Drosophila melanogaster: one gene and its partners. The protein of the gene in region 2 interacts with the protein of the main gene of each other region in a pairwise test. Each region holds a gene or a part of one and is shown on either strand. Other genes may lie near its edges. The genes, in order: CG1504, CG7135, CG10283 and CG13358.

What was found.
Region 1: the proteins of CG7135 (region 2) and CG1504 interact in a two-hybrid assay, tested with the Drosophila melanogaster proteins (one large-scale study listed by BioGRID).
Region 3: the proteins of CG7135 (region 2) and CG10283 interact in a two-hybrid assay, tested with the Drosophila melanogaster proteins (one large-scale study listed by BioGRID).
Region 4: the proteins of CG7135 (region 2) and CG13358 interact in a two-hybrid assay, tested with the Drosophila melanogaster proteins (one large-scale study listed by BioGRID).

What each region holds. Positions count from the first base shown.
Region 1 is NC_004354.4:20,327,332-20,332,372, forward strand, and holds the start of CG1504 (uncharacterized protein), read right to left. Parts: upstream 3,042-5,041; 5' UTR 2,787-3,041; intron 2,212-2,786; exon of another isoform or gene 1,832-2,211; intron 1,350-1,831; exon of another isoform or gene 884-1,349; coding exon of another isoform or gene 447-883; intron 388-446; coding exon of another isoform or gene 273-387; exon of another isoform or gene 113-272; intron 1-112. Other genes in the region: CG1631 (uncharacterized protein), read left to right, coding at 273-387, 447-883.
Region 2 is NC_004354.4:18,101,840-18,105,938, forward strand, and holds CG7135 (uncharacterized protein), read left to right. Parts: upstream 1-1,813; 5' UTR 1,814-1,841; coding exon 1,842-2,206; intron 2,207-2,270; coding exon 2,271-2,745; intron 2,746-2,904; coding exon 2,905-3,318; 3' UTR 3,319-3,554; downstream 3,555-4,099. Other genes in the region: Taf8 (TBP-associated factor 8), read left to right, coding at 221-368, 429-863, 919-1,047, 1,105-1,379.
Region 3 is NT_033779.5:18,481,487-18,486,314, forward strand, and holds the start of CG10283 (uncharacterized protein), read right to left. Parts: upstream 3,028-4,828; 5' UTR 2,888-3,027; exon of another isoform or gene 2,831-2,887; 5' UTR 2,484-2,830; coding exon 2,408-2,483; intron 1-2,407. Other genes in the region: grnd (grindelwald), read left to right, coding at 4,482-4,716.
Region 4 is NC_004354.4:802,900-806,698, forward strand, and holds CG13358 (uncharacterized protein), read right to left. Parts: upstream 2,023-3,799; 5' UTR 1,999-2,022; coding exon 1,175-1,998; intron 1,104-1,174; coding exon 1,022-1,103; 3' UTR 528-1,021; downstream 1-527. Other genes in the region: CG13359 (uncharacterized protein), read right to left, coding at 1-527; Sec22 (secretory 22), read left to right, coding at 3,586-3,666, 3,734-3,799.

The DNA of each region.
Region 1 (5,041 bases), 2.2 Mb from region 2:
CCGTCCTGGAAGGAAGCGCCCAGGACATTACGTGCTGGCAGTGTCGCTTCCTGCACCCATCTCGAATCTATAGTCCAAGCCCCGAAACCCAAAACTAATCCCAGTAGCATTTGCCGGGCAAAACATTTCCAGCACGCATGGAAACAAGTTTAGAATCAGAATCACATCACACCAGGAGACAGCCAGACAGTCAGACAGTCAGACAGTCTGAAACTAAGAGATACAGCACATGGACGTACAGATATAGGAGCCGGGATTAGACACAATCGAACATGGCCAGCGACCCTGCCAATTCCAGAGACCAGATCAACATAAACGCGGACGTTTCGGATATTTCCACTAGCGAGAGTGAGCTAACCAGCGACGACTATACTAGCGATAGCGAAGGTGATTACCAATCTAGAAAAATGTGTTTCCACTAATAGCGAACCGCACATCCGATCCAGATGAGAGCTGCACAGTGGCCGATCCCGACACCAGTCCGCAGACGAGCATGTACAGTCTGCTGTCGGCAGAATCAGACAGCGACTTGGAGGAGGAGCAGGAGAATTTCTGCGAAGAGACTATTTCGCTGCTTGCCCACGAGATCCTCTGCTGTGAGGGCGACAGTGAGGGCTCAGAGGTAGAGTCCGACGGCGAGGACATCGACGAGGCCAGGGAATACGATATGTTTGGAGAATCCTCAGAGTTTGGGCTTCCTACATACCGGCTCATGCTGAGCGACGAGGACGAAGATAATTCGAATGAGGTCGAAGTGGTAGGCAGTAATCCGTTCGTTGGCGAGACAATCTTCCTGCTAGAAAAGGATAAGGATCAACAGAGCGAGGAGAAGTCCGAGTCAAAGGAGGAAGAAAAAATCTTCCAAATGGAGCTTTTTGAGTAGGGCTGGGGTTGGTTGAATCGGCATCTCTGCAGGCGGTTTTTTTTTGGTTTTTACAGATATTCACATTCGATGATCATGGATCTAATATTTATGGAGGGCAAGATATGAGATGGATCCTTACCAGCAAACTCAATTTTCAGGATAAGGCTTAGAGTAATTAGAAACGTACTATCCGAGTATATTTCTTTTTTAGCCAGATATCAACATTTATGTATTCGCGCAAATTAACATACATACATTGTTTTATGCATTAGGTGTACAAATGTCCCGAAGCGGCAAAAGTGTGACTCCCTCAGGGAACAGACAATCCTGGCTTTTTGTGCGAGTCAACAGCATCCATAGATAGCAGTATACAGGACGCAGTTAATGGCGACAGATAATGAGTGGAACACACTGCTGATCCCAAGACTACAAACTTTATAAATTTGTCAAATTGTTTACAATAGAGTAAATTGATCGATACCATAGGCCTTACTTATTATTTGAAACTTTTATGATGTATTTTTATACTACTAATGACAGTTTAAAGTAGCACAATCTTTGAAGAGTTTTAATGAGCTTTTATTGGCTTTGAAAATTGTTATAGCAGATGGCTGCCATTTTTCTCGAATTAAATATTCATGCTTAAAACGTCTGAGCATTATAATTACTTTCAGTTTTGACCCAATTAGGATACTAGTTAAAGAAAAGGTAAAAGAAAATCGACCTCATTTTTGGAAAAACGTGTTTATAGTGTTTATAAACGTAATTTATAGTAACAGTAGTTATAGGTACCAAGAAAGTCGGTTTATTTTTATAAATGACATCGCTTGGAAACCCCATAGGATCACTTATATTTCTATTTTATTCTTGCCTCAGTTTGTTTTCGGGAATGGGCCTCCCACATGGCATCAGCCTGTGCGATCAGGCTAGCATCCCTTTAGGATCCCTTTTCACATTGTCACTCACCTGTTCACGCTCAAAGTGGCTGGATGGTCGCTCAGGACACCTGAGGGAGACTGGGCTGGTGTTGGCGCTGATGCTGATGGCGATGGTGATGGCGATGGTGATGGCAACTGTGACTGCGAGTGGGACAGTGACTTTAGCAAAATGCTGACAGGCGACGGCAACAGGCGGGCTGAACTGCAACTGCCTTTCCCTTGGCAGCTGGCATTTAGTATTTAATATTTTGCCTCTGGTTATGCCTCGGTTATCCCTCGGTTATCCCTCGGTTATCCCTCGGTTAGTCCTTCAGCTAGTCCCTCAGCGCCTCAGCCCCTCACTTTTGCCATTTGAATGGAGCTGGTCTTTAATTGCAAACTGGCAGCGGCAATTGCTGGCAACTAAAACTAAAAAGGACGACAAAGGATGAGAAAGCGAAATGCGAATGCGAATGGCAAAATGAAATACAACATCAGGCGGAAAGCGAATATGCACTTTGCAGTTTGCAGTCTGCTCCTGCTTGCTCCTGCTACTGCTGCTGCTCTTGATGATTATGATGATTCCTATTTCCATTCGCATTCGCATTCGCATTCCCATCCCATTTCCACTCCGCCTCCTTTCAATTCGACTGCACTTATCGTAATCGGCGTTTCGGTGTTGGCTTTCAAATTGCCCGCGACCACGTCAAAGCGACCACAAAACTAGCTGAACGGACAACCGTTGACCATCCAACTTCCAACATCGACCATCCGCCACCGTCCACCTTCCACCAACAGCAGGCAATCGAGGACCGCAGGTCAGGTTTTAGCCAGTTATCAGCCGGGCTTAGTTTGGTTTTGGTTTGGGCTCGGTTGGGTTTGCTTTGGTTTGGATTGGAGGTTTGGATGGTTCGGCTTGCGGCTCAGTTTGAGGAGTAGTTTAAAGCGCAACTGGCAACTGTTGCGGGGGCCCCAGCCAAACAAAAACCAACGAAATCACTCACCTCGCACTCAAAACAACACACACGTGATTTCCCGGACCAATAAAACAAAAAAAAAAAAACCGAAACACAGCTGGACAGAACAGAGTGATGACAAAAAAGATGTCAGTTGGGGATGTCACACACCAGCCGCTGAACAGCTGAACTCTAAACTATGAACTGCGGGTCGCGTCAAGTTAGGACTTGTCGAGATTTGGCGAGAGATTTGCGGGCCACGCACGTATCCGCATCCGCATCCGGTACCCGGTACTGATGTCAACAAGCTACCACACGCAACTAATTCAAAAAATCCAGCGAACGGATTACGGCGCCACTGTCCGCATTGCCAGCCGAAGCCGAAGGCGTCACCAATCGGGTAGCTCGGCGCTAGCCGAGTCCGTATCCGAAGTAGCCTCGTTGTCCTCTCGTGACCGCTCGGCTCAGGCAATCGTTTGACGTCGGTGGCGTTCGGCTGGAACCGGCTGGAGCAGTGGTCCGCAGTCGTTGGTCGCCAGCGGAGTGGTTCGCATGTGGCCCGGCTGTAAGTGGCACAGGATTATGGATGAGACCCCGCGTCCTGGCGGGATTCTCTTTTCGTCCTGCCAGCGGGCATTAACGTGCTGTGCGCTTTATTTAAAAAAGCAGCTTAACCTGCTTTTGTGACCTTTTCCCTTTTGGCCAACACGTGGCCAACGGCTTCACCAGCAATCGCCTCACATTTGTCCACCTCCAACGCCGGCGATGGATAGACTGCGTCCTCATCCTGGACCACGCCATGCGTGTTGATAAATGGGTTTTTATTTTGATTTTATTCACTGTTTGCCTTGTTTTTGCATATTCATTGACGGGGCTTCGACTCCGATTCCGATTGCGATTCGATTCGAATTCCCGTCCGTCCACCTGCTCCTGCTTCTGCCTCTGCTCTGCTTCTGATCCCCATGCGAGGATGGCTGGTGTGTCCGGCGTCGAGTGCAAATCCTCTGCCACCTATTGCCTTCGGGTCGTGTCTGTGCTGAAATGGTTTTCAATTTATTAGCAATCAGTGGCATTAACAGCCGAATGCGATGCTGTTGCTCCCCAGCGGATATGGCCACTAGGATTATGGCGGGGTCAGTCAGATAGGAAGCCAGTTGTCACTGATCATCAGCAGGGTATTGGTACTGCGAAGGCGTGCGCGATGAGTTTGTGAAATCAGTATATGTTCAGTAGTGTTATCGAGATCACCTAAGGCATTATTGGCTATTTCAATTCAAGGTTCATTGAGTAGCTATACAAATTCTTACTTGTCTTGAACTAAAGTTCGGCAGTTGTATCATACTTTAAAAGTTAGATTGATATCATTTTGTTATACATAAAGCTTTCCGAAATGTAAGCTGAAGGAAATGTTAAATTTAGAGCTTGATAGTTGAACATACTATCTATATATATATATAGATAGAACTATACTATACTATATTTGAAATGCGCACTCGTTTGTACTACCATTTGTACCAGCATTATATAGGAATAATTCTATGTTTGAGATGGAATTTGTCAGCTTGAAAATCAAATGTGATTGATAGCTTTGAAATTTTCAAGCTATGATATGTAGAAGGAGATGGGTAGATACGCAGTCTTGTGCCGAAGAATTGATTCTATTTTGATAGATAATTAATTAATTTCAAGTTTGTTTTTGTCTAAATGGAATGTTAGGCAAATATATTTCTTCCTCAGAAGGTTATTAACCCTTACCCCAACTCTAATCATATTTTAATCTGTGAAAGTGGTATCGCACACATATGGAAATGAGTCCACATGTGTGGTAAGTATCCTGCGTCGTGCCACTGATTGAACTGCTGACCCCCTAACCTTCAGCCCGTGTCATACGTGGCATATATGCCCCATATGCTGCCCCAACTGACATGCCATTGTACTTCGATTCGGTTTGGGGTGCCCTCAAGATCGGTTTTGCATTTATGCGGAGTGGAAATTCCCAGCGAGGAGCCAGGACCAGCGGCCCAGTGTGCGGCCTAATGCGCTCAACCCGGAACCGCAGGGGCGGCAAATTGGTCAAGTCGGTTGCTGGCCACGTAGCCAGTGTCTTGCGGCTGCAATTCCCGTTACCAATCCAATGCCAATGGCAATGGATATGTAGATGCAGATGTAGATGTAGATGTGGATGTGGAGGTTGCAAATGGCAGGAAATGCGTGATAACGACCGGCAGCACACATGGAAAATATTGAAAATTTGAATGAGGGACACGGACACGAGTCCGCTCAGTCGATTCTCGAGATGGAAG
Region 2 (4,099 bases):
AAAATTTAGGATTTATAATGCCAAGCCTTGGTTTAACTAACATAAAATCTTAATGCCAGATGAAATATTGAAATAACCAGTGGAGTTGCACTTGAACTCATAAGGAGCGTTGCGCCGATAGCTGTAGTCGATAGTGCCGAACAGTGCCATCACTAGCCGCTAAAGTGGCAATATTCACTGCGGTTTCTACTTTAGCATAAACAAATTGAATTCTGTCTCCATGGAGAAGGTGGAGGCGGTAACAGTGTCCAATGTTGATCCCTATAGGCGGATCCTAAACAAGGTGGTGTCCCAGCTGCTATTGGACAAGGGGGCCGGCCAAGCGAGCAACCACAGCCTGGAGACGCTCACCCAGATGCTGCAGGCGTGTAAGTTGACATTGTGATTACCATTTTGTACTAGGATAATCATTTAGCACGCCATTCCAGTGATCTGGGAGATCGGCAATTCGGCGCATAACTACTGCGAGCTAAGTGGACGCACGATGCCCACCGTGGGCGATGTCAGTTTGGCCCTGATTAACATGGGCATTTCGATCTCCAATTTGGATCCGTACATGCGCAAGGAGACGCACGTGCCCATTCCACTGCCCCCACAGCAGACGCAGCAGCGCCCGCTGAGTCTGCTGCAAGCGGGCATCAAGGCCCCGCATCCCCACTACGTGCCCAGCTACTTCCCTCCCATGCCCGATCCGCACGCCTACATACGGACGCCCACGCACAAGCAGCCCGTAACAGAGTACGAGGCCATCAGGGAGAAGGCCGCCTGCCAGAAGCGGGACATCGAGAAGGCGCTCACAAAGTTCCTCTGCAAGACCACGGAGACGAACAACCTCTTTCCCACCGAGGACAACATGTTTCCTTGTAAGAGGCACCATAATCATCCAGCGAACAATAATTAATAACCATTTCCTTTCAGTAATTGCCTGCAAACCGGCCTTTCCTCCCTATGCAGCCGCTTTAAATCCCACAGATCAGGTGTTTGACTTCGAGGAGCTGGAGTACCACTATCTGGTGGCCAATCGCACAGAAGATGAGCCCAGCAAAGGTGCGTTTCTTTCAAATAGTCAGATGCCACGAGTGCTAACACTTTCCACCCTTTTAGACGACGGCGAAGAGGGCGATAGCGAAAACGAGGAGATGGATGGCGACAAATCCAAAGAGGAGAAGCCCGAGCTGGATATCAAGCCCAATTCCAACACAAACAAGGCCATTTTGGAGAACCCCAACATCGATAATCCCTATTTGCGGGCGGCTACTCTGCCCAAGCGATCCAAAAATTGCCCCACACCCGGAACCATGCCCAGCAGGAGTCTGGCCACCACGGCGCCAACGATACGAACGCCCTCCACTCTAGAGATAACCAAAACTAACCTTTAAGAGTAGCAGGCGTTTTTAATTATGGTTTGAAAATGTAAACACTCCTGTTTTCTTTAAATTTAAAAAATTAAAAAATTTAAAGTGTAGTTTTAGGTTCAAGGACTAATATATTTTATTTTATACTTACATATTTGGAATCTTTAAGTTTGAACTGAAGACATTGTATAGGGCCAATTTCCTCAAAATGGCATAATATTTCGTGTTATATATTTAAATAATAAAATAAATGGGTACTCCAGCAACGATCTGTGCTGGAAGATCTGCAAATCGGCTATGTTCTTCAATCTGCAAACCGCTAATCCAGCGGCAAATGCACTTCCATCAAGGCAATTGAGGAAGGTCCAGTCGTGCCCTGTCCATTAAGATCAATTAGGCAACAAATGAGGCATCGGCAAGTGCTCTCCGAGATTTTGCATAAAAAGCCGGCTGTTCACCGCCACAATTGCAATTTACGGATACACGATGTCGGACGCACTGGAGGAGCCACCATTGTACCTTACGCCGCAGTTCTTCAGGCGCACCCTGGAGCACGGATTGCAGCAGCTGGACCTGCAGGTCATCGGTGTCCAGCTGACCAATCTGACGCGTGGCGGGGAAAACTACTGCAGCAACATTTACCGAGCTCAGATTAAGTATCGCAATGCCGAGAGCTGCGCAATGGAGACATCCCTGATCGTCAAGTCCATGCCGGACGAGAAGCAGGCCATTCTGGCCCGCCTGCACATTTATAACAAGGAGACGCTTTTCTACATGCACATCAAGCCCAAGCTGGAGGCACTCATGTGGAGGGCGGTGGATAGTTTCAGCGCTTGGACTTTGGCTCCCAAGTGAGTTCTAAGCGGCAGTGTGTCTAGGATCCATGAGGAGTAACTTTCGTTTTTCTATTTGCAGGCACTACTATTCCACGACCCAGCCGGAGCAGACGATCATCCTGGAGGACCTTTGCGCCGCAGGCTATCAGTTGAAGTGCCGCCAGCTGGGTCTGGACTTTGACCACGCCGCTCTGGTGATGGCCAAACTGGCCGAATACCATGCCCTCACCATGGTCATGGCCGAACGGGAGCCAGAAACCATTGTGGACCGCTATCCCTTCGGTCTGCTCCACATGGATGCCATCAATTCGGAGCCCTTCAAGCTGCTCTTCGGCACTCAGCTCCTAAAGCTGGCCGCTCTGGTCGGTGACTGTGAGGGATTCGGTGGGATCACCACAAAGCTCTACCGCTACCACGAGCACTTCACCGAACGAGTCCTGAAGGCGGTGTACCCACTGCGCGGCAACCATAACGTGCTCAATCACGGCGATCTTTGGGTGAACAACATATTCTTCAAGTACGATGCGGAGTACACGGTGCAGCAGGTGAAGATTGTAAGTACCAAAAGGTTGGCCACAAAAATTGAGGCTTCCAGCAATCTCCAATATTAGATTATTTATTTCTTCATAAACCAACTAAGAACTAGCAGCTAGTAGCTAGTGTTTATATCAGAATTGACTGATCCTTTAATGCCCTTTTTACTGCCCCTTCAGATTGACTTCCAGCTGTGCTTCTACGGCAGCCTGGGCTTCGACATCAACTACTTCCTGAACACCAGCTTGGAACTGGAGGTGCTACGTGACCGGCGGCAGGAGCTTGTCGACATCTACTACAGGTCCCTGGTGGACTGCCTGAAGCATCTGCCCTGGTCCAAGGAGCTGCCCAGCTATGAGGATATCATGGATGAAATCAGAAAGCGCGAAGCCTACGGTTTCTTTGTGGCTTTCGGATTCTTCCCGCTGATGAGCATGATCGGTGTGGACTCCGAGGACAACTCACTGAAGAACTTTCACGACGAGACATTCGCCAGGCAGAAGGTGCAGCTCATGTTCGAAGGAAACACTCGCACGCTGGAGAGCCTCAAGTGCACCTTGAAACGTCTGGACGAGTTGAAACTGTTCGACTAGGCGGTATATACATAGTTCGTAAACACATTTTTTTTTTGTCTATTTTCAAATAAATTATAAAGGCCTTGTTGAATTTGTACATGTTGCAAAGCATGTTCCAATCAAACCAAAACCCATTCTATTATAAACAAAAAAGCACGATGTAGATTAGTGTCGTGACTATCAGATACCCCTTAAAAATGCACGATAATACCATTACAATACAATATGCAATAAACTTTTTGGCATACATTTTCAATATCGCTGTCTTTTCATTCAAAACTATACTGTATTTATGATATTCGAGATCGTGAGATTTCGATCCCCTCCTGAAAATCTCAACCATTTTAAAGATTATTTCGCTCAGTGTTTGTGTGCAAAAGATGATTTTGGGCATGGCAAGGTAGAAAGAATGTTCGTTTTTTTTTTTTGTAATTTAATTTAATTTACATTAAAAAATATAATTTGTAAATAATGAAATATAATAAATAATTCATCAAGGCGTTCAGATGTTTGGCTGTTGTTTTGAATCGTTGATCTGAATTATTTATAAGCAGTTGAGTTTGAGTTTGAGTCTGAGTTTGATTTTGATTTTGAGTTAATTTAGTTGTTGCTGTTGTTGTTTATTGACTTCATTTCTGATCAAATCCATTGTGGACACATATATATGGCGAGATATATACATGCATATATATTTGCGGATATATATATATATTAATAGATTCATATAAATTATATTGCTTCAGATAATTGTTGTAAATAATTTCAATTATTGTTTAGGGCGGGAGTCACGGGTCAGTGG
Region 3 (4,828 bases), on a different chromosome or scaffold from region 2:
TTGTCACTACCTAAATTTGTGTCTTAGTTGCAAGTGAAATATTCTGCATAGCTCAATTTAGTTATTCATACTTTCATTTGTAAACACCAGCACTTGGGGTGGACTCCTTGGTAACTCCATTATTTGGGCTTCTTGAAAAATTGTTGTTTGTAGGCCAACGCAAGTCAAGTCATGACAAAGCGCCATAATAAGGAGAGGAGCTGAGTGGGGCTTGGGCCTCCTTTAAGTGCTATCGCCATAGAAATTTTAAGAGCCAAGTCCAAATGGATGAGACCTCCTTCCTGGCACTCGCACATCCTGTCATCGTGGCCTGGCAAGTGAATCATTCCTGGCATGCAGCGATAAAAATGCAAGAAAGAAATAAACTGCATTCAGGCGGCTCGTCATGCAACTGCTGCTGTTTCTCTTGCCGCTGGGGCTGCTGCTCCCCGATATCCCCTTTCTATCCTGGCCCCCTCTTCATCAAGAAGCCCCTTCACTTGTCAGTCAGTCGGGCTGGTTGGCAAAAAAAAAAAGGGAAAAAAGAGGCCAGCAGTTGAGTAAGTTTCAGTCGGAGGCACGGCTATTTCCAACCAAGGGCCGACTCTTTGTGGGGGTCTTTTGTCATGCGTGCTTGGGCGCAAATGAAGCGGCTGCAATCCCCTCGGCTAACCGTCAGCTGTTGCCTGCTGCACGCGCTGCATCTTTAAGATACAAATGCTGGGAAACAGCCTTTTTGCATTTCTGCACTGTGCGAAAAACTTATCGAATTCGGTGGTCTATGGTTCTTCAAATAGCCACAGTTTTTTGAAAACAATTAGCAAACATATTTTTAATATAAACCTTATTTAATACATTTCTGAGTTCAACGAGATTTTCTTTACACATAAAGAATAAAATCTTTTCTGAAAATATTATTATTATTAATCAAGCTGGAATTTTATCTTCAAGTATTACTTATTTTTTCCTACCCTATTTGCGCTTCTATTGTAATCATTATTTTACAATATATATAATTAGACTAGTATAATGTGTATATACTTTTATAAAACAAAATCTTTATAATGGTAGATAACTGATTTTTCTTCAGGTGCATTCATTAAATGGAAAGTGCTAGCGGCAATCATTTTTTGCACCTCCAAAAAGAAGAAAATGAGTATGTATTTTCCCTTTCTGTAGCGGGGATCGCTCGGCTTCCCCTCAATTGCTCTAAAAGAAAACTATATAAGAGCTCGGTGTTTGTTTATTTTTCAACTGAAATCTCTTCTTCACAGCTTTGTCCGCTTTCGGTCGTTGGTCTGCGCTATGCGGTTTCTTCGGCTGCTGACTGGAAGTCTTTGTTTTTGTTTATCGTCTCATGAAGACTTTCAAAACCCCCCAAAAAATGAGGAAACTCGCCAACTTCTTGTGATTGTTACTGGGAGTGGAGAAAGTTTTATTCGGCTCGCGTTTTCTGTGTATTATTTTTTCTTCTTTGGGCAATCTGTTTCATTAGCATAACAACAAATATTGTTCACATAGTAGCCAAAAAAGAGATTTGCACAACAGCCAAATCTTTGTCATCGAGCATTTCGTATTCGCTTTCAATTAATTGAGCTTATTCAAAGAGGTGAATAAGCTAGCTTTTCATGTTGTAACATTTTTTCTATGCAAATGTTTTGATTATTACATAAGGTCAAGTAGAATGCGATAAGGGAAAACGTGCTCGATATGGCTTGTTTACATCTGAATCAACAGAAAAAAACTTATATTTAAGCCCCAAGGCGCAAACGACAGTGGAGAAGTTCTGAGAACTTGAGTGTTTGTTTTTTTTTTTTGGCTGATGTCGGCATTCAAAGATATCGGATCGGTGGAATTAATGGGATATGTATATTGGAATGGGGTATGAAAAGCGTTAGAACATTTATAATTCGTGATGTCTTGAAAGAAATGCCAAATTGAATAAAATGTGTGGACTAAAACCTTTTATATTTGCATATATTAGACAAAAATATTTGTTTAATTTCCAAATTTGATTTATATTCAATTTTGCAAGAAGGGTAAAGACAATATATATTTAATGAACTTTTTGTGAAGAATTCTCAACGAAACAATGGGCCTGACTTTCTTTATGAATAAATGGAAACAATAAATGACAACAAATACAACAAATTTGTTAAAAATTAATTTGATCGCTAGAGAGGTCATATCGTTAAAGAAATACCAAGTCAGGGGAAGAAAACGTTGAAGAGGAATTTTAAAAGACCTCAAATTAATCACTTCTATGTGGTGCTCATGCCCCCCCCGCCCCAATTCCAAAGCCCCTTCATCTCAATAGCTACACTCAAACCCAATCAATTTCCAATTATCCAAGGCCCCGTACGAAATTGTTCATGTTCAACCAATTTCGAAATGGTTTGCTTCGGTTCGGTTCTTAACCCATGCTTACCCTCATTAACATGTCCTGATCGGGGCAGCGCTTCCTTTGGTGGTGCGGCTGCTGTTGTGGTTGTGAAATTATTCATCTCTCTCCTCCTCTCGCCACCCTTCTCTTTCTAACAGGCTCTGGCTGTCTCTTTCGGTGGCTCAAATCTCTATAGAATATCTGTATCTCGTTCTAAAACAGGTGTTTAAATTGGGTAGCTCAAGGACGCGCCTTCCACTCCACTGATTTTTAATTTATGTTGGTTTACTTGTTGAAGCGGGCTGGCAAAATAGATACATAGATGCGGCGATACAGAGCGTGAGTAAACTATATTTTCATCTAATTGCGTCGCTCTCGGTGCAACTATTTCACTTTCACACTTCCACACGAGATATAATGCTTATAATTCCACAATTTCCACCATCAACACGCGCGCAACAACGACAGCTGCAATTCAAAATTCGATTTGATTTAGGTATTGTATCCCAAAGATACGCAACGAACCGGCGGCCGTCGTTCCACGAAAGCAGCAAAACAGCTCATTCAACAGCGAAAGCCGCTCAGCGAATGGATGTTGTTTGACTTGGCCATACAGTCCAGCTAACTGGAAGACACAATAATACTGCAAGCGGCGCTGGAACTGGAAGCCGATACAAATGTATCTCGAAAGCGGCACTGCAATGGAAGAGAGAATAAGAGAGAGGAGAGAGAATAACTCAAAACAGTGCTGCCAAGTTTCAAAAAGATTTCAAATCTAAATACAAAAAGTTATAATTTTACTATTGATTTATAAATTCATTAAACGGTATATATGTACATATGGTTTTTTATTATTATTTAATTTTCCAAAATGAGTTGGGAGCAACGAATTTCAGTATTTCTTTTATTTATGTATATGGCATTTGCTGTTTAGTAAAGACATACACCATTGCGTTAGCTAAGCGAGGTTTCAATCCTCAACAAATGCTACACTTAAAAAATTCCAAAATCATATTTAATTAGATAAAAATTGTGTAGCTAGAAACTTGTTTATAAATATCACGACTGCTAGTTAGTTGTGAAAGTAAGGTATTATAATTAAAATTTAAATAATAGGTAATGTTGTAAAAAAAACTTTAAACGTATAGTTCATATTGGGATACTGGGAATTTCAATAAAAGTTATCTTAAACATATTGTCGTTTATTCATATAAAACTTTATTATTATTTTAATTGATAACTTGGGTAATAAAGTGAGTGAGCAAGTAGTCTCTATAAAATACTTCTTGAGGCACTACCTTCTCGTTGTTATTTATTTTTATAAGTCAAATCGCAGCCGAAATTTAAGAAACTGAAGCCGGGTTCAAAGTATGCCGAAGTCGGGAGTATTTCACTCATAGCGCAAAATAAACAGTCGATCGCAGACACACAAATACTTGTATTACTTGCCACAGCATAGATATACAGATACTTTTGCATCTACAATCGACGTGAAAAAGGTAAACAAAAGTCAAGTCACGGTGCGAATGAGTGTGTATTTGAGATAGATGCCTCGGTGCGAGTGCTGAGTTGTTGGTAACAGCGAGCGATCGCGGCATTCCAGTCAGTAACGAGTTGAATGTGGCTCAAAACGCGTCGCTGAACGATGGCTAAAAACGTTTAAAGTTAAAAAGCGTATTAAATCATATAATATATAATATATTGGTGTAAAAAATACAGAATTAAACCTAATAATTAAGTGTCCGGACATCCCCTAGAAAAATGTGTGAAAATGTTGAGAAACTAACCGGAATACTATGAAAACTGCTGTAAAACTTGGCTAAGATAAACTCGTTTGCACCAATACACATGTGATTATACGTATAAGGGCAACGCAAAATACTCAGACTCCAGAAGCCAGCAATTAAAAAAGAAGTTAGTCAGTTAGCGTCTGGGCCGCGTTACTGGTGTATGAATCATACTTTGGATACGTTTAAAAATAACAAAACAAAAACCTTAAAACGAGGAAAAAGTTGTAACAGTGCTAATGTAAACTTCGATCAAACTTAGCGGAACGAGCTCGCTACAAAACCAAATACCCATAACAAGTAAATTAAGCACACATTATAAAATACCTCAAATGTCGGTCAGGAAGTTGAGTGCCCTATCGCTCTCCATTGGTGGAGTTCCGTTGATTCCAAGTGTTTCCTTGGTAGCTGCGGCCAATGGAGAGAGTAGGGATTGCCATGGCACGATCTGTCATCCGGTCAATGAATTTTGCTATGTTGCAACGGAGAGATGTCATCCGTGCATCGAGGTCTGCAATAATCAAACCCACAACTACGATGCGTTTCTGTGCGCCAAGGAATGTTCAGGCAAGTAGAATTCAAAGATTTCCAAAAGATTACCTCAGATTAACTCACGATCCATAGGGTAATTTGGCGGGTTCTATGCAAGTTCAGGTTTTTCCAGCTGGACTTAATTGTA
Region 4 (3,799 bases), about 17 Mb from region 2:
TCCGTCTGCAAAGTCTTGTGGTGCACCTCAACGCGATCCACAAGATTCTTGGCCGCCTTCTGATCAGCTAAATTCATCTCTGCACGCACCTTGCGGAGAGCAAGGCAGTCAATGATGCTATGACTCTGCCAAGTGACCTCCAGGTCGGCGGGGATTGGTGTTCCCTCTGACGCCAAGCAGCCCTGACTCGTCATTACTTGTTTCTGGCAAATGTCCATGAACTTGTCTCGCCGGCTAAGCAACGCGTGAGGCGCCAGGTCCACATCCCCCAGTTTCCGGTGATTAAAGTGGGTGATTAGTTTTCCGGTATGCGAATTTACCCCCACGACGGTTGCGACATCGAAGTGCTCTGGACAGCGTATGCGCATCTCGCTGAGCGAGCAGGCCAAATCCAGATTTGACCGGCACCACACTACCATATCCTCCTCGTCGTCCTGTTGCGGCTCGACATAGGGAATTAACCGCTGCAAGTTCGGACGCGGCGTTCCCACGTCGCAGAGGGCATTAAAAGATGCAGAGCATTTCATTTCTAAATATAAAATTTATATTTTTTTGTACAAAAACTTCAGGCCAACTTATAAAACTGTGTGAGGGGAAACTGCATACATATTCGATTGAACTGAATATTCCAATCTTAGGATTCGAAAAATACTATAAATTGTTATGGCTAAATACTCGGGCTGATCGCTATCTTTATATGTACTCTTCAGACTGCTCTTTGTTTTAAAAGCTGAGCGATTTCAGAGGACATACAAATAGATGTACATATATGGCTTCACATGGCCATTGGAGCAGAAAAAGTGCCTACTTCAATTCGAAAGCAGTTAGTATGTCGCTAATCTATGACTGATTGCATATTCTATTTGGACACAAAAAAAAAAAAAAAAATTATTATTCAATAAAAAATAAAATACATAAGCAACAGTGGAAACAGCCTAGCAAGACAGCCTCCTTCAAAAGCTCGATCCTGGTTGGTTCGCCGGAAGGTACTCCGTTTTGGTCAGTCAAGTGATGCACAGGCTCACACCCGCCAGTCGCCGATGATTTGGGAAGAGGGCACCAGCTCGAATCGAGCGTTGGCCAGACTCGGTGGCACACCAAATCTAGAGCAAAAATGGAGGGAAATGAGCCGGCTGCCCAGATGACCACCTCTAGCGCTTTCGTTTCTGCTTACCTGGGACGGAAGAAGGGAGTTGGGTGGCCAGGGAACTTGGGAATGGAAGGCGGAGCAGTCGCCTTGGGCTGGACTTCCGGTTTAATCTGCTGCCTGACAGGGGCAGTGCCCGCATCCACGCTGTCCAGGGTGTTCCTCACCACAAATTGCTGCCTGGGCTGTGAATTGGATTGCGGTCTCGTTCGAGCTCCTGGCATGGGCAAAAAGCGAAAGAGCCGGGTAGAGACGCCGTCATCATCTGTCACGTCATCGGTGGACAAATCATCTCCTCCAGCCCCTCCGACTCCGTTGGCAGACGGAACAGCACTATCAGCTTGTCCACCGGCAAGCGGAGTAAACACGGCAGCCAGACGCACAGGCACAAAGGCTGGGAGCCGCACTGTAATGGGAGTGCCGGAGGGCGGAACAGCCGGTGACGGGATTGCAACGGAGACTGGTATGGGTGTGGGTCGTGGCGGAGGAGGTGGTGGTGGTGGCAGTGGAGGCGGAGGAGGTCTACGTGTGCTGGCATCCGCTGGCGACGCAGTCGTTGTTGTGGCCGATTCCTCCTCGACCTCCTTCCAGGCCTCCAGCAGGGTCAGCAGCTCATCCTTGCTCATGTGGCCGAGACCAACGGGGCTGTAGGGCCACTCGCCCACTCCGAGTCCACTACCAACACTATTCCAGCCTAAAGAGGGCACTTGTTCCACTTGCTCTACGTGACCCAGCGGAGTCTCGAACAGGCTCCTTTGGGGACGTGTGAGGAGCAGCTGCTGACCAGCCAGCCCATTGCACAGGATCTGCATGAGGAGACCCAGGAGCGTCGCACGAACTGACCCGGCCATGACTGACTTTGTATTGTGGAGCCTCTAGGTGGAGCAGTGGCTTATATATACATACCTGCTTTCAACGGAACGAGGAAGGAGGCCAAGCCGAGCAAAACGGAAGCGCACGCATTCCGCTGCGGGTGATCCGATCACACGATGAGAAAATAGGTTGACCGCAGTCCTCGATGGGCTCAGAGTTAATTGAAATGCATTCGATTTAAGATCACAGTACAAGCATTTTAAATAATGTCATAAGCTTTCCCGCTTTGATCACAAACTTGTGTATATCTTAGCATTCTTCGGTATGAGCAGAAATGGGAATGGTTATTCGCATTCGCTTGCAGGGCTTCAATTCATAATATACATAGATGAATAAGTCGCATTCGATATGAATTATTTTCCCAGTGCAAAGATTTTTCCGGTGGTCGCTTGAAACGCACATTCGCACGCAGCTCCATCGCCAAGTACCACAGGTAGTCCATATAGTTGGGTCCCTGCCTCAAGTCCAAGTCCGGTTTCGCGGGCGAACCACTTTTCCTTCTGGGGATGGATGTGGATGTCCATGCAGAGGATGGTCTTCGCGGGCGAACCGGTTGGGCTTGGTCATCGACTTTTGGGGGGTCCAACCCACTTCCGGCATCTGCGCCAGCGGATTTGAGTCTGCGAAAGCGGCGCGACGTGCCAGGGATTTCGATTTATGTTGGTTAATAATTTAAATAAATATTTATTTATATTTAAATATTTGAAATAATATATTCGCAACTCGATTGCCAATATAAAAAATAAAAATACCAAAGACCAATTGGTCGGATTGGGACTCAAAACAGCTATAGAACAATGCATCTGGGCGCCAGGTTCATGGGTGAATCGAAGTATTGTACTTCTATTGAACTTCTGGGGATCCTTAATCCGCATCCTGTGTACAACACACGCATACAAAAAGCAAACTCCACATTACAGCAGAGCGCAAGCTGTCAAAGCTGTAGACCTGGGAAAATAGCTTTGCGGGAAAGCCCGGAAACTCGAAAGCGCCATTTTCAGGGGCATGCTGGCTTGAAAACGAGTTGAAAGCGTATTTCCATATCGTGCATTTAAAGAAACGAAGAAACGAATGGTATAATGGACTTCCGTTAATGTGACCGTTGGCGGTCGGTACTCTGAGATACTCTGCGGTATTCGGTATGCCTCGCACCATTCGGTATATTTACACGGACATACCGGTGACGTGGTTACATTGCAACAAACATCCACAGAAACCTCCAATCCACTCCAATCCCAGACACCCGCCCGCCGCGACGTTGCAACACAGTTTTCATGGTAGCAGCGAACGTTCCCGATTCGAGGCAGAGTCCATTTGGAAGTCCCGGGCATCGCAGGAGCACTGCGGCAAGCACCGACCGATCGGCTGAGTTGTGAAATCCAAGAAGTGGAAGAGGACGACCGGACACAAACTTCACACACTGGTGACTGGACTGCAGCGGATCCACATCGGAATAAGTAGCAGCCAGTGGAAGGAGGCGACGGCAGAGTGCAGCCGTGGCCAAGAAGACTTGAGACGCAGCCCCGTAGTTCCGCGAGCAATCGTAACCAGGAACAGCAGAAGCCATGGCGCTGCTGACCATGATAGCCAGGGTCATCGATGGCCTTCCTCTGGTGGGGACCATGCAGGATGACGAGCAGGTACCCGTGTGCATCACTTTCTAATACGTTGCATTCCGTTCCGCTCCCGCAACTAAGTCGCTTTCACTTTCAGAGCGGACGCAGCATACTGGACTACCAAAACCAGGCTAAGATGCTCTTCCGCAAGCTGGGTACCCAC